Notamacropus eugenii: one gene and its partner. The protein of the gene in region 2 interacts with the protein of the main gene of each other region in a pairwise test. Links are inferred from orthologs where the notes say so. Each region holds a gene or a part of one and is shown on either strand. Other genes may lie near its edges.

Region 1 (7,013 bases), on a different chromosome or scaffold from region 2:
TCCATGATTAAAATGTAAGCTAGTTGAAGATGGGGGCCACCATACTTACATTTGTGTTTCCAGAGCTTATCATATAGAATTTGGTACACAGGAAGCTTTTAAATGCTTCATCCATCCCCCCATCCATCCATATTCTACCGCACTGAGGTCCCTCTTAGTTCTGAGATTGTATATTATTCAGTGTGACCTTAGAACAGAAAGTTAAAACTGGATGAGGTCTTAGGGAAACACATCTATTCCAACCATCATACAGAAGGGAAGCTGAGGACCAGAGAAAGTGAGAGACTTCCTCAAGCCCACACAGAGAGTTGGAGACAGAGTTGAGACCTACAGATCACAGGATCCAACCTCTTCATTTCCCAGTTGAGGAAACTGAGGCCCAGAGGCAAATAACCTTTCCCTGAGATTACCTGACAAGTAGCAGTAGCAAGGGTCAATAATTCACTTTAAATATGCACAGATGGGGGGAGGGAGAGAGGGAGAGAGAGAGAGAGACAAGGAACAAATTGTTTCATATATTAATTGTTTTCATCTTAAAAACCGTCCACGCTTTCCTCCCCACAATTCCATGACCCCCCCTCACCCCTACAGTCTGTAACAGGAGGGGAGCTCCCAGCAGCTCTAGTCCATTTCAGGTCTCTTGGGGGCAGGCAGGGAACCATTTCCCTACAAAGTCTGTGTACCCACAAGCACATCCATGAGGTAATCTAGTTCAGACACGTCCAGCCCTGGCCCCTGTATCTTGTCCTCTGTTTCCCCAGAGTCTGTTTTAAGATTGGGCCACAGTTCACAGTCATACATGGAGGTGTCAATGTCATCAAAAAGACCCTCCAGTCCATCCTCCAGGAGGAGCTCCAGGGACCCCACAGGGGCTGGCCGCCCAGGATCCAGGCCCAGGTCCGGGGGCCGGCTAAGGGGGGCATCTTCAGGGAAGGCTGTCTGGGTGTCACTGAGGCCCTCAATGTGACTCAGGTCATCCAGAAGGGCTGAGACAGACGTGCACAGAGGGGCATCAGGGACCACTGGGAAGGGGTCAACAGGAGCTGGAGAAGGGGGTTCTGGGGCAGAGGGCTCCAGGGCCATAGAGGACTGAATTCTCCTCAAGGTGTTGACCACCAGGACAAGGTGGCGGAGATCTGGCTCGCCCCTCCGAAGGCCATGGTGGAGTTTGAATATAGACAGGCTGAAGAGTGAGCTGGGGGGCAGGGGTGCTGGGCCAGCCCCCTCCTCAGGGCTTGGGCTGGGAGTGGCCTCCTCTAGCCACCAGTCCTGTGAGGTCAGGTTTTCCTCCTCTTCCTCCTCTCGCTTACGTTTCACTCCTTTGCACAACATGGGTCTGTGGAGAAATGGGGGTATGGGGTCAGAAAATGGTCTTTTGTGAGCATTCTTTTGGTTCTCTCCATCAAAGGACTCTGAAAACCCCTCTCCTGATGCCTTGGGACAATGAATCCCAGAAAATTAGCGAGAGACCTTCTAGTGCAGGGAGTCTTAACCTGGGGTCTGTGAACATTTTAAAAATATTTTAATAACTGTATTCCAATACTAATGAATTCTGAATTCTGTGTTTTATTTCATACACTTTAAAACATTATTCTGGAAAGCAGTCCATGGGCTTCACCAGACTGCTCCAGGGGTTCCAATACTAAAAAGGTCGACCCTCACTCCGGTATAATGGCCCCTGGAGCCCCTTCCAGCTCAGACTAGGATCCCAAGTCACAACACCGCTGGGCCTCAGTTTTCTCTTTTGTACAACTCAGATTGGCCTGCCAGGAGCCGGGGACCCCTCCTCTCCTTCCACAGAGCGGGGCGCGGGCAGTGGGGGCTCGGAGGACGGGGCTCGCTCTGGGCCAAGCAAGAGTCAAGGGCAGAGGCCGGACGCCCCTGGGGCCGGTCGGGTCAGCTGGGAGTGGGGGAGGGGGCAGCCTCAGAAGGCGGGCGCCCCCGGCCCAGCCTCGCTCGGCTCCCCGCCTGGCCCGGCCCGGCCCCGCTTGGTTCCGGCTCCGGCTCGGCTCCCCGCCCGGCCCGGCCTCCGCTCCCGCTTCCGGCCCGGCCCGGCACGGCTGCGGCGGCCGCGGGGGCGGGTGAGTCACGCAGCCGGAGCCAGGGAGCCGGCGCCCCCGCTCCCCGCCCCCTTCCCCTTCCCCGGGGCTGGGGCGTGATTCACCCCGGGCCGGAGCAGGCGCCAGCGGCAGCGACAGCGCCCCGGGTCGGGCCCGGCCTGGCGCCCGGGGAGCCGCGCCGGGAGCATCGGACGCCGCCAGGGGATCGGACTCGCCCGGGATGGCGATCCCCTCTCCGGCCCCCAAAGCCTACCCCCTTCCCCCCTTCCCCTTCGCCTCATTTACATACCCAACTCGTCGGCTGCCAATCAGAGGGTCCGCGACGCCACCAGCAGCCAATCAGGAAGCGGCAGAGGCGACCGCATCGCTCGCTCGCTCACTCCTCCCGCGGCCGGCCCCTGGGTCGCTAGAAGCTGCACTGGCCCGGGCGCGCGGTCGTGGGGTTGCTACTTTCCTCTGTTTCTGCCCCGCCCCTGAGAGGCTCCGCCCCAGGAATTCGGGATTGGTTCGCTTCCGTGATGGGCGGGGCTAAGAGGGAGGCGAGGCCATCCAGGGGCCCAGGTTCCCCGAGCTGGATTCCCCAGGCCCTGAGGCCCGGGACGGGGGCACTCTCTGGTTGGCCAGTCCGTGTGTCTTTGGTCTCAGCTGTCGCTTTCCGGGCTAGGGAGGGCGAGGGCGGGGGTCCGTTCTTGGGCTTTTGGGAAGGGTTGGATGAAGGAGCTGAAGAAACGGATTCTCCCCCACTTCCCCCTAAAAGGGGCTGGGTCCTCCCCTTCTTGCTTGGGTTGACAAGACCCCCACAAGCACCTGTTTAGCTAGCCCACCCCCTTGGACCATCCTTTCCTCCTCATTTTTGCCACAGAGACTCTGGCACCGAAGCTGGACCGAAAGGCCCTGAGGGAAATCGTAGAGCCCTCTCCCCCTTCCCCCTTGCCATCACCTTCCCGACCCAGCCTCCTTAAAAAGCCTGCTAGAGCGAGTTCTGGGGGGGTGGGGAGGGAAACCCTGGGAGCATAGTCTAGGTCTCTAGGACTCGGTGGATCTGTGCGGGATGGAATGGAAAATGCCTGGGGGCTCCGAGGCCCCGAGCTTGAATTTAGGCTCTGCTCCAGGCAGGGTAGACCTGTGTGACCTTGGCAGATCACTTTCCTTTTCTGGGTCTCCGCTGCAAAATCAGGGCTGCACCAGATAGTTTCCAAGGCTTTTGCAGGCCCAGACTCCTAGGACCCTTCCCTCTTTTGGACCCAAGTCCCTGCTTCGAATGAGGAGAGGCTTGAGCTCTTGAGGTCGCTGGGGCTCTGCCATTGGGCGATTCCAAGCAGCTGAGTCGAGCCCTGTCCGTCCCTAACTTCTTGGCAGCTGGGGAACAGATGAGAGAGGCCCCGACGGAGGGGAACAGTGGGGCGGAGTGGGGGGAAGGAGAGGAGGGCCTGCCCAAGGCACGGAAACGAAAGTTACAAGAAAACGAGCGCGCGCGACCTGTGGCTCCGAAGCTAGAGCACCCCGGGGGCTTTATTAGAGGGAGAAACCAGAGTCTTGGGGCCAGGAAGGGAAGAGCTAGCAGGGCCCCCGGGGTGGGTGGGGCAGGTGGAAGGGGCCCAGCTAGACAGCTTTCTCAGGAGTCCTTCCAGCAGTGTCCAGACTGTATCCTGCACCACAAACATACCCCTTCTCTTTTCCCCAACTTGTAGTCTGGAGGAGGGAGAGAATTCTGCAGAACTATCCAGCTGGTCCATCCTAGACTGGAGGGGAGCCATGATCTCCCCACAGCTGAGTAAACTCTCCTCACCAGACCCTGCTTTGAGGGCCAGCTCCTGGGGTTGAGGAGCTCTGCCAGCCCTTTTACACCCCTCCTCCTAAACAAAGTGGGGTAGTAAGAAGAAAGGAGACACTGAGTCAGAGCCTGTCACCACTCTTCCACAAAGCCCCCCTCCCCCAGCAGAAGAAAAGGATTTCCTCCTGTATTACTACACCCCGATATGAAAAACTTTTGGGTTCCAGGACTCTTTTCCATTCTTAGAAATTATTGAGGAGGTACTTCCCGACCAAGAGCTTTTGTTTGTCGAATATCAATCTCTATTTACCATGTTAGAAATTAAAACGTCTTCGTATTATTATTAAAAGTTTTAACATTGCAGACTTCCAGAAAGGGCCCCAGGGGTTCCCCAGGGGTGCACTCTTTGAGAGCAGAGGATTTGAGGTAAGTTTCTTCCTCTTCCAACCCTAAATTTCCCCCTAAAATGTGGAGATTGGATGAGATGATGTCTAACTTCCACGACTAAGTCTAAACTGACCACCTCACCCAGGAGTACCCTTAAAGGCAAGGAGGGCCTGGTGGAGAAAGCGGAAACACCTGCCCCCTGCCCCTATAAGGCAGGCTACCTGTTCCTATCCACCAGAGGCTCCAGGCCAAAAAGCATGATGGGAAGAAGAATGGATTAAAGGGACATTATAGAATTTGAAAGTTTTATTCACAAAAAAAAAAAAAACCCAAACAGGTAAAATAGGTCTTTTCAAAACAGAAAAAAAAGGTGTGACCACAAATAAAGATTCCTTTATCCCTGTTGCACTTCATCAAAGCCTCTTTGGGTAGGGAAGGGGGTGATCAAGCACAAAGGAGGGGGGCAAAGGAGGGGGGTACTCCTGGCCAGGAGGGGGGGAGGGGGGAGGAAGAAGATGTGATTTCTTACTGTTTCCATACCTGTCAACCTTGGGAGTTGGGTGGAAGGGAAGGGGGGGTTGGTCTAGAGCCCCTCCTCCTGGCAATCTGGACTTTGTCTCCCCAGAGGCCCAGGCTCCTGGCTTTCAGCCCTGCCCTGCCCCCTTTTTTTCCCCAGGCAGTTACTCAACCCTGAAGCCAGCTTCTTCATGGGATATGAAGCCAAATTAAGGGAAAAATTAGGGAGTACCCGGGGACCAAGCTCCTAGGAGACTAACTGGAGTAAGAATAGCAGCCCCAGAGTGCTTGGTCCTTGCACACCATGGGCCAGTCAGGGTGATAGGGGGAGAGGAGGAGGGATTCCCTGGCAGCAGCTTTGGCTGTGGGAGGATGAAGACAGGGGGAGCAGTGTTCCATCAAGCCATCAAAAAAGAGAGATACAATCTGTTTTTTTTGCCATCAGCAGGCCCTGAGACTAGGCCAGGAGACTTTCCCAAGTCACAAGGAAGCTTCACTACAGCTTCCTGAGATAGGAAATCTTTGGAGACCACTTTCTTGAAACTCTTCAGAGGTAAGCAAGTATCTAAATGAAGGGTTCAGGGTCCTAGGGGACTTGGGGTCTTGCCCCACACCCCCACAGTCTTATGATCCCTTGATGATTTCCAAAATTTGATCCAGTTCAGTCCAGTCCCATTCTGTCCCAGAGGAGGAGGCAAGGGCAAAAAGTGAGGGCCAAGAATCCCTTTCCACATCTGATGTGTCAATGTCAGGGAAGAGGTCATCAGGAACCAGGTTTCCAAAGTACCTGTTGCCCATGATCTCAAAGCTGCCTAGGGCAGGTTCCTCAACTCTGACAGATGGGGAAATTGAGGCCCGAAGAGGGGAAGGTGTTGGCTTGCAGTCACTCAACAGATCAGGGGCAGAGGTAGGGCTACAACTCAGATCTGGGGGCTCACAGTGGTCTTGTGTGATTCTTAAGCCTCCAGCTTATCACCTCCAGCTCTCTGAGGAACTTGTTGGCAGACTGGGCAGTTGAGGGTAAAAGCAGCTCCAACCTAGGTTCCTGGGGCAAGGCTGCGCTCCTCTCCAGGTTCATCTCTTCCCTGATGTGGTTCAGGGTGTCTGTGATGAGCACTTGCCTCAGGAGGTTTGGGGGAAGGCTAGCTGGAATTTGTCCATTGAAGGGCAAATTAGGGTCTGGCCTATGCCAGACCTGTTGGACATGGAATAAGGGGCCTGCTCCTGGGACTCCTTCCCGACCTCCACCTCTTCAGGATCTTGGTGATCATCCAGGTGCTTTCCATTCACACCAACCACCATTGTCCCTTTATGGGAGAAGGGGCAGGAGTTAGGAGACCCTGCTTGCACCCCACAGGGTCCCTGCTGAAAAGGGTCCCCAGAGAGCCCCGAGTCCTAGACAAGTCTCTGCCACTGACTCGATATGGGGTCTCCGTTAAGACTCTTACCAACTCTAAGTCCCCCTGTAATAAAATAGTGGGGTAGGATTGGAGACTCTGTAAGGACCCTCTTCTGAAAACTGGTAGATGGATTGGACTTGGCAAGGAAAACTTGCCCTATTGTTTTATCCTCAAAGATAAATTTGGGAAATGCCCAGGATTTTGGTTTTATATTATTATAGTGTGAGAAACAGGCTGAAGCAATGGGTAGAGAGAGCTGGCTTCAGAACCAGAAAGTTCTGGGTTCAAATCCTACCTCAGACAATACCTATGGTGGGACCCTGGGTAAGTAACTTAATTTTTAATGCTCTTGGCAACTCAAGACTATTAATTACTGAGAAGGTGCTGACCTGCATAGGTAGAGGGATTAGCCTCATTTGGAATCATGAATTGAGACCTGGAAAGGAACAAAGATATCGAAGTTATTCAATTTTCCATTTTACAAATAAGGAGATTTAGGCTGAGTGGTTCAATGACTTGCCCATGGACGCTTGTTTATAGAAGGATTTGAACTCCCGTCTCTGACACTCAGTCCAGAATGACATCCACTGGGTCTTCTAGGAGTTCCTTTTACCAATAAGATCGAAAGCCCTTATCCTTTTAATATCTCAGTAATCAGAGTCCTCCCCTACCCCCTCCGTCTTCCCCTCTTCCCCCTTGATTTGGACCTCTGTTAAAATACTCTGTCACCGCTTGTGAGTAGTAAGTAGACCTTTCTGGGGCTCAGTTTTCTTATTTGCAAGATGGTTTTTAAGATCCCTTCTAGGTCCTATGATTCTGATATTCCAGGACTTTGATCGCCCGGGGATCACTGCAGTAAGGTCCCCTCATTTTACA
Region 2 (7,312 bases):
TACAATCCTTCCTGAGCTCCACAAAACTACAGAACTCAACAAGAGAAATCCCAAGTTTTAAAAGAAACACCAGCAAGTCAAGAATTAATCAGCCAGAGTAAGAGCTACATAATACTTCATAGACTTAAAAAAGAAACAAAAGAATTTAAAAAACAAGCCACTGGTACTGACTTGTAGAAATAATTCTGAGAGCTCAAAGGGATCGAATTAAATTATTTTCTCCAGGATTTATTCTGGAGACAATATATCTTTGGTGTTCAAAGAGCTAAACGCGGACCTACAAGAGCTATTTTCGTACCTAAAACCAAGTTTTCAGAATTTGGTACATATATCTGGAACATATTTTAGACCAAATTTTTGGTGTTTGTTTTGTTTCATATATTTGGTAGAATTCTTTCAGTCACAGAACAAAATTTTTTTAAAAATGGAACTCTTACTAGACATCATCTTTCTAAACTGCCCTGCCATCAAGAACCATAAGATGAGCAAGCCTGCTCCAGACTGACAAGAGCAAGCAATAGAAACTCAAGATTCCTAATCATAAAATATTGCCTGAGTTCTCAGAAACAAAATAATTTTTTCCTCATCATCTAAAGGAAAAGAAAAACTCTGAGAAAGGTAAACTGTTTCTAAGTAACAAATGAACAATATCTTACTACCAGTTTAATTCAGAAAGAGGAAACAATGAAAGGCATAGAGCAGAAAAGATTCTCACTGCTACCCCTCAGAAACTTGTACCCTGGAGGGGAAGGAGTGAGGACAGAAAGCCAGTTCCTCAAACCAGACAAAACTGGGTATGTGCACTTTTGCATACATGTGAACACCCGCAGGCATCAGTACAGCTTCTTCCTAGGAACAGTTACTTATCTGATTTATTTCAGTTGCAGTCATCTGTCTGGTTTTATCAAGACAGACAGTAAATAAAAAAGGAAGCAATCAGAGCGGCTAGTTTTGGGTGAATGATTTCTGACCGGACCCTAATGAATAGTCAGGTTGGGGGGACTTTTCAGTAACTGATGAAAGCACCCCACGTATCCAAGGACACACTGAGCTATTAAAAACTTTGCTCCTTTCATTACCTGCACTGAAATATTCATCCTCTGAAAGGGCTGTCACTTCTGTCTCCAGCGGAATCGGGTCACACAAGAGAATGTCTTTGCCCAACACATCACATTCATAGCCATCATCAAAAAGGAGCTTATACTTCCCAGCTCCAACATCTCGTGTTATTTTCCCAGAATAAAAATAGCCATTGGAGGACCACTTGGCTACAACGCGGAGCCCTACAAAGCTGTTTCCTGGAGAGGAGGAGTCTAGGCCATCAGATGGGCCAGCAACAACCTGCAAAGGAATCTCTGGAGAGTCGCTACGGCGTAAACCTCCAGTACTGCCATCTGCTCGTTTGTTGGCATCTGGCATACGGGGTACAATGCGAGTGAAGGGTTTATCCTCCGGCGAGACACTTGTTGAGATATCCTCGACACCAAGAGGGCTAGGCAAAGCTGTTTCTCTGAAAAGGAAATGTAGAATGAGGAAGTGAGAATGAGATGAATGAATTAAGGAGGATGCACATTAACTTCTCATTTCCCTGCCTCAGAGAAGGAGCGGAATGATCAGCCACGGATTCTGAAGTCATGAGTCTGGTCTTCCAGCTGCTCTCACCTTTACTCACATCATCTGGCAGTCCCTACACCATCCCCTCTTCTCTCCTGGCACCCCATGCACTACTCTCTCCTCCTCCTATTTTAATGAACAAAAACCCAACGAAGCACATCTCACTAATTCTCTCTAGGCTCTCACCCTAAGCTGGAGCTGACTCACTCATCCTATTCCTACCCATTCTATCAGGTTGGGGTGGTCCTTCCAGAGGGATGGCCATACAGTTACTGCTCATCTTCAGGGTCCTAACAACAGCCCTTCTGATGGGGTGGGAATACACGCCCACAACTTGTTTGTTTCTCATTTATACAAAGTAGTCAAAATGACACAATTGACTCCTAAAAAGCCACATATTTACTAATCAGAAAGCAAAGCACACACACAAAAAAAATCATTTAAAAAAACCGTTTCAAGAGAAGGAAAAATCAAGAATAGTCAAAACATAACGGTATACCTATAAAACTGGAACACATTCTTCTACCTATGCATACGATGTCCACGGGGGAAAGTGGGCACACAAAGAAACCTAGTATTGAAGTACTGTAAGAAAACTCATGTGCCCACAGCAACTTAAAACTCTGGACTACAGACTTTAAACAGTCTGTCCTTCACCTGCTATGCAGGCCTCTCTACTCTCCTGCTGGATGAAGCTACTACTCTGCTACTGTTAGGCAACCAGAGCAGCACTGAGCTTTTCTTTTAAACAGGTGCAGCAGCTCTGATTCTACAGCCTTCAGCTTTCCATGTGCGCTTATGCGGCTCTCTGGGCTTTGTGCTAAAGAGCAATTCAGAGAAACCCAGCCAGTTCTTCATACAGAAAGATTCTGCCTTCTCCAGTCAGGTCCCATCAGCACATTCAGATGCTGTTTGTCTTCTGTTAGCTGGAAGTTGCTGTTTTTATTTTCTCATTCTTTTCCTGCTGCTTTCATGAATTAGTAGGCAGCCTCTGCCCTGTTTCAGTTTCTCTTTCTACTATCAGCTCATCTCTTCAGGTGGATGTTGTCTTCTCATTCTTATATTTCTGCCTCTCTTGTCTCCCTTCTCCCTTCGCCTGCCCCATGCCTCCCAAATCAAGATTCCCTCAGGAATAGTGACTACTCATCTCTAACTTGGTTGAGAAACCCAAGATTCACAATGCTATCAAGTATTCTGCAAGTAATTATTACACAATATTTCTGAAATAATTTAATGGATTGTTTGGTGAATAATAAACACCTGTCCTAAACATATCATTTTACAACGCTGTGGGAGTTTGTAAAATAGCACTCTTACTCACAGTTTATTCAAGAATAAGAGGTACTAAACAATATAACTCTTAAAAACTCAAAATTAAACTTTTAAGTCACCATGTAAACTGTTGAATGATTTTCACGCTGAATTACTATAATTACCAAAAGAATGCAAGCTTTTGGACACTTCCAATATTTCTGTTTTGATCAGTGTCTAAAAGCACAATTCCTGCTGATTATTGTTGAATATAAACCCCAACATGAACTTGAATACAAAAAAGTCCCACTTAAGACAATTTAACCTTATGATGTTAGGTCATTAGGCTACATTGATCAGAAAACTATTTTCAAGACCACAATTTCATGAGATACCTATTTTTCGAGGTGGTCAATTTGCAAATTTGTTTTCCTTGACTGCTTGTCAATTACAAGGGAGGGTTTTAATGGGGAAGGTGAGTAATAGGAGAGAGGATTAATAACAGGCAGAGATAAAAAGGAGTCCTCCTAAAGTGTTTTGAACAGACTCGAGAGACAAGAGAGAAGCTGGACAATTCTGGAAGTAACGTATGGATTATACTTAAAGAGAAACAATGATTCATACAATGGAGATTTGCACTTTTATGTCCATGACTCTTTTTCTATTCTCCGTATCTGGAAATGCTCACATTTGTTGGTATTTTTCAAGTTCATAATTAAAATAACATTTAAAAAAAAAGAAACATGGTATTTCAAATCCTGTTAAAATTAGAGTCCAAGTCTGAATTTTAAGCACGCAAGTACAACAGAATACAAAAGTACAAAGTGAATAAAAAGCAAAAGTATAAATGAAAAACCAGTATAAAAACTATATGATAAGAAGTTTAAAACCCAGCAAGTTCTAGAAATATCGTACCGTAAGTAGAAAAACTGTAAATCACTTGGGATACAATTGAGGAGAGTATATTCTGGCTCTGGACTCACCATCCCAGGGTCCGTCTGGCCCATCTCCGCCTCAGGATCCTGGGGGTGCCCCGGGAGGTTGTGGGGGTCTCTTGTAAGGGCAGCCATGTGCCCCCTCGGGGCTCACCTACAGAGGCACTCGGGTTCCACTTAACCTGTTCACGTCAGTTAGCTTTTACAAAGGGATATTTATTCACTACGAAGATATAATAATAACAAAAATGCACACTTCCCCTCATTGCTTCAGGGAAACACTTTCTCCTAGAACACCTTATTCTCTGGGAAAACGAGTCTCAGTCAGACCTAGCACAGCTCCCTCGGTGCCCACAACTTGCCAGACTCCAAAACGCTGTTTTGAATACAGACGTAGTGAAGGGAGAAGAGTAGAGCTGGTGACTGATTGGATGTAGAGGGTGAGAGCCCGCCCCCGCCACACCACTCCAACCAATGGAAGGACGTCCGCCTCGGTCTCGTCCCCGGCTCCTCCCCTGAGTGGCGTGGAGTTATCGGCTTGAGGGGCGGGGAGGGGAGGAGGCTCAAACTTCCTGTCCCGCGCTCAAACAGCTTCCGGCGAGAGCCGGAAGCCCCGCTTCTGGACAGACTCAGGGACCAGGGACTGCTGGCCGCTCAGGGCTGGAAGGTGAGAGCGGGGATTGTGTGCGGCCAGGCCAGGTCAGCGTCGGGTGACGGCCGCGCGGCGGAGTCCAGGCCGCGCGGAGGCGGGCGGAGCAGCTCCGGGTCCCCAAAGGGCAAGTGGGAGGGGAAAGGGACGCTGCCCCCCGGAGACTCCTTTCGCGGGAGTCAGCCCCGCTCTCGGGGAGGGGGCGGGGGGGCCTCTTGTTCTAGGCCGCCGGGCCGCAGACTTAAGCCTCGGGCCTCTTCCCCGGAGGGCTGGGGAGCTCCCAGGAGCCCCGAGATGTCCGAGGTCTCCGGCGGGGTCTCTGGGGCGACGCTGCCTTCTTACCCTCGGGCGCACCCGGCCTCCCCCTCCCCGGACTCGGCTCCTGGTCCAAGGGCCCTGGAAGAAATGGAGGCGGGTGTCCGTCCCAGGGTGGCCGAGGCTGCGTCCGCCTGGACGTGTCGTCCCGGGCTGCCCTCGGCCTTCCCGCCCTGGCTAGGGGTCCACGGAAGGGCCGAGGGTGGCCGAAGGCCTGGCCTTCCCCCTGCCTTTTGGGCTCCTCGCCCCCATTCATTTAATGTATCGAACTCCGCAGTCCCTTAGTGAGTTTTGTTCCGTCTCCAACAAGAAACAATTGGAGAGGCACTGTTATTTTGTTTTAAGAAAGTTCCCCTTAGATCCCATGTTCCAGTGCTGGAAGCTCATCTGGGACAGTTTTAAATTGGGAATGCTTCCGATCGAGCATTTGGGTCCTTATTTTTGATAGAGGTCGCTTCTTAAAATTCGAACCCATTTAACCCCTTTCGTGCCGAGACCACCGCAGTGGGTTAGGACTCCAGCATGTAAAACGAGAGGGCAGATGGCCTCGAGGGCCCCCTTCTGCTCCGAAGTTATCATTCTGTAAATATCAGTGTTGTGTTTACCTGGGTCACAAATACAGAGCTTAAAAGGTAATTACTTCAGTCTTAAAAATTAAGGAAATTTTAAAATCGGGAGATTTGGTTTGTAGTGGAGAGACCACTCCAGTGCTGCTCTATAGTATAAAGGAAGTCGGTGTTGTGGCGCTCAGGAGAGCTAAATTTTAGCTCTAGCTTGTCTCTACATGGCTGGGTGCATAATCATTTATTTCTCAAATTTTTTTATCTGTGAAATATGGTAATTGATCCACGTCCTAATTGAATTATTCTAAATTTGTTGAACTAAACAGGATAGTTTTGACTTTATGAGGACCTTTGCAACTCTCAAATTCATTGGTAGTATCAAGTACACCATAATTATCAGTAGAATTTGTTGATCTCTTAAAGTACTACTCCATTCGAAAATTTGGATATTATCAATTTGCTGTATGTATCATGTTTCTTGCTTTTGAACATGTTTTGTCTGCAAAATGTCCTACCATCAATAGGATTTTTGTCTTACTCCATTAAATTATCCTTGTTATCAATTCCTGTGACCCAACACTGTACAGATAGGGCTGAAAGGATCAAAGGTACAGACTGGGCAGTGGTTAGAGAATAGTCCAAGTGGCTTCTTAAATTAGGGGGCGAGTTATATAGTATATTATTATTCAGTTTTTATCTCAGTAATTTTAACAAACACATTGCTATATAGTAACATGTGACTATTAAGCAAGTGTTTAAAATTTATTCTTTATGTTGAGGACTGTTATTGACTTAGTTATTATTTTAATGCCTCCTGTGTGCTAGGTAGGCAGTGTGGATATAAAATTGAGTCAGTTCCTTTCCTCAGGAAACCTTACTTGGTGAGGTACAAACATTTTCACACACAAGTAAATACAAGGTATGCACAGAATAAATATATAAATATGATGATTGGGGGAGCTCTGACAACTGGGGTAATTAGGAGAGACTTCTTGAAGCAAGTGTCCCTTGACCTGAGTCTTGAAGGGAGCATTGGCACCCAAATGGTAGGAAGGAAAAAGAATATATCCCTCCAATTACTCAAATATTGAGAAAAGTCTCAAGAGTTACAAATATTATCTCTCCATGTAGAAATATAAAGAGTTCAACTTTAGTAAAGTCCCTTATGATTTCTCTTTCTTGTTTACTTTTTCATGCTTCTCTTGATTCTTGTGTTTGAAAGTCAGATTTTCTATTCAGCTCTGGTCTTTTCATCAAGAATGCTTGAAAGTCCTCTGTATCTTTTTTTTTAAAATTTATTTATTTATTTAACTTTTAACATTCATTTTCACAGAATTTTGGGCTCCAAATTTTCTCCCCCCTTGTCCCCTCCCCCCACCCCAAAACACCGAGCATTCCAATTGCCCCCATCACCAATCTGCTCTCTCCTCCATCATTCCTCTCTGCCCTTGTCTCCATCCTCTCCTCTGTCCTGTAGGGCCAAATAACTTTCTATACCCCTTTACCTGTATTTCTTATTTCCTAGTGGCAAGAACAGTACTCGACAGTTGTTCCTAAAACTTTGAGTTCCAACTTCTTTTCCTCCCTCCCTCCCCACCCCCTCCCTTTGGAAGGCAAGCAATTCAATATAGGCCAAATCTTTGTAGTTTTGCAAATGACTTCCATAATAGTCGTGTTGTATAAGACTAACTATATTTCCCTCCATCCTATCCTGCCCCCAATTACTTCTATTCTCTCTTTTGATCCTGTCCCTCCTCAAATTGCACCCTCCTCCCCATGCCCTCCCTTCCATCGTCCCCCCCACCCTGTTTATCCCCTTATCCCCCACTTTCCTGTATTGTAAGATAGGTTTTCATACCAAAATGAGTGTGCATTTTATTCCTTCCTTTAGTGGAATGTGATGAGAGTAAACTTCATGTTTTTCTCTCACCTCCCCTCTTTTTCCCCAAACTAAAAAAGTCTTTTGCTTGCCTCTTTTATGAGAG

What was found. The genes of interacting proteins can lie anywhere in the genome.
Region 1: the proteins of ZNF410 (region 2) and SERTAD1 interact in binary tests that used the Homo sapiens proteins (3 or more experiments, as listed by UniProt). The two-hybrid records come from large-scale screens. The link is inferred for Notamacropus eugenii from reciprocal best matches to the Homo sapiens genes ZNF410 and SERTAD1.

The regions. Positions count from the first base shown.
Region 1 is NC_092876.1:31,106,369-31,113,381, reverse strand, and holds SERTAD1 (SERTA domain-containing protein 1), read right to left. Parts: upstream 2,560-7,013; 5' UTR 2,350-2,559; intron 2,317-2,349; exon of another isoform or gene 2,165-2,316; intron 1,337-2,164; 5' UTR 1,333-1,336; coding exon 667-1,332; 3' UTR 507-666; downstream 1-506. UniProt on the Homo sapiens protein: Acts at E2F-responsive promoters as coregulator to integrate signals provided by PHD- and/or bromodomain-containing transcription factors. Stimulates E2F1/TFDP1 transcriptional activity.
Region 2 is NC_092878.1:56,326,748-56,334,059, forward strand, and holds the start of ZNF410 (zinc finger protein 410), read left to right. Parts: upstream 1-4,310; 5' UTR 4,311-4,467; intron 4,468-7,312. UniProt on the Homo sapiens protein: Transcription factor that binds to the sequence motif 5'-CATCCCATAATA-3', and is specifically required to silence expression of fetal hemoglobin in adult erythroid cells.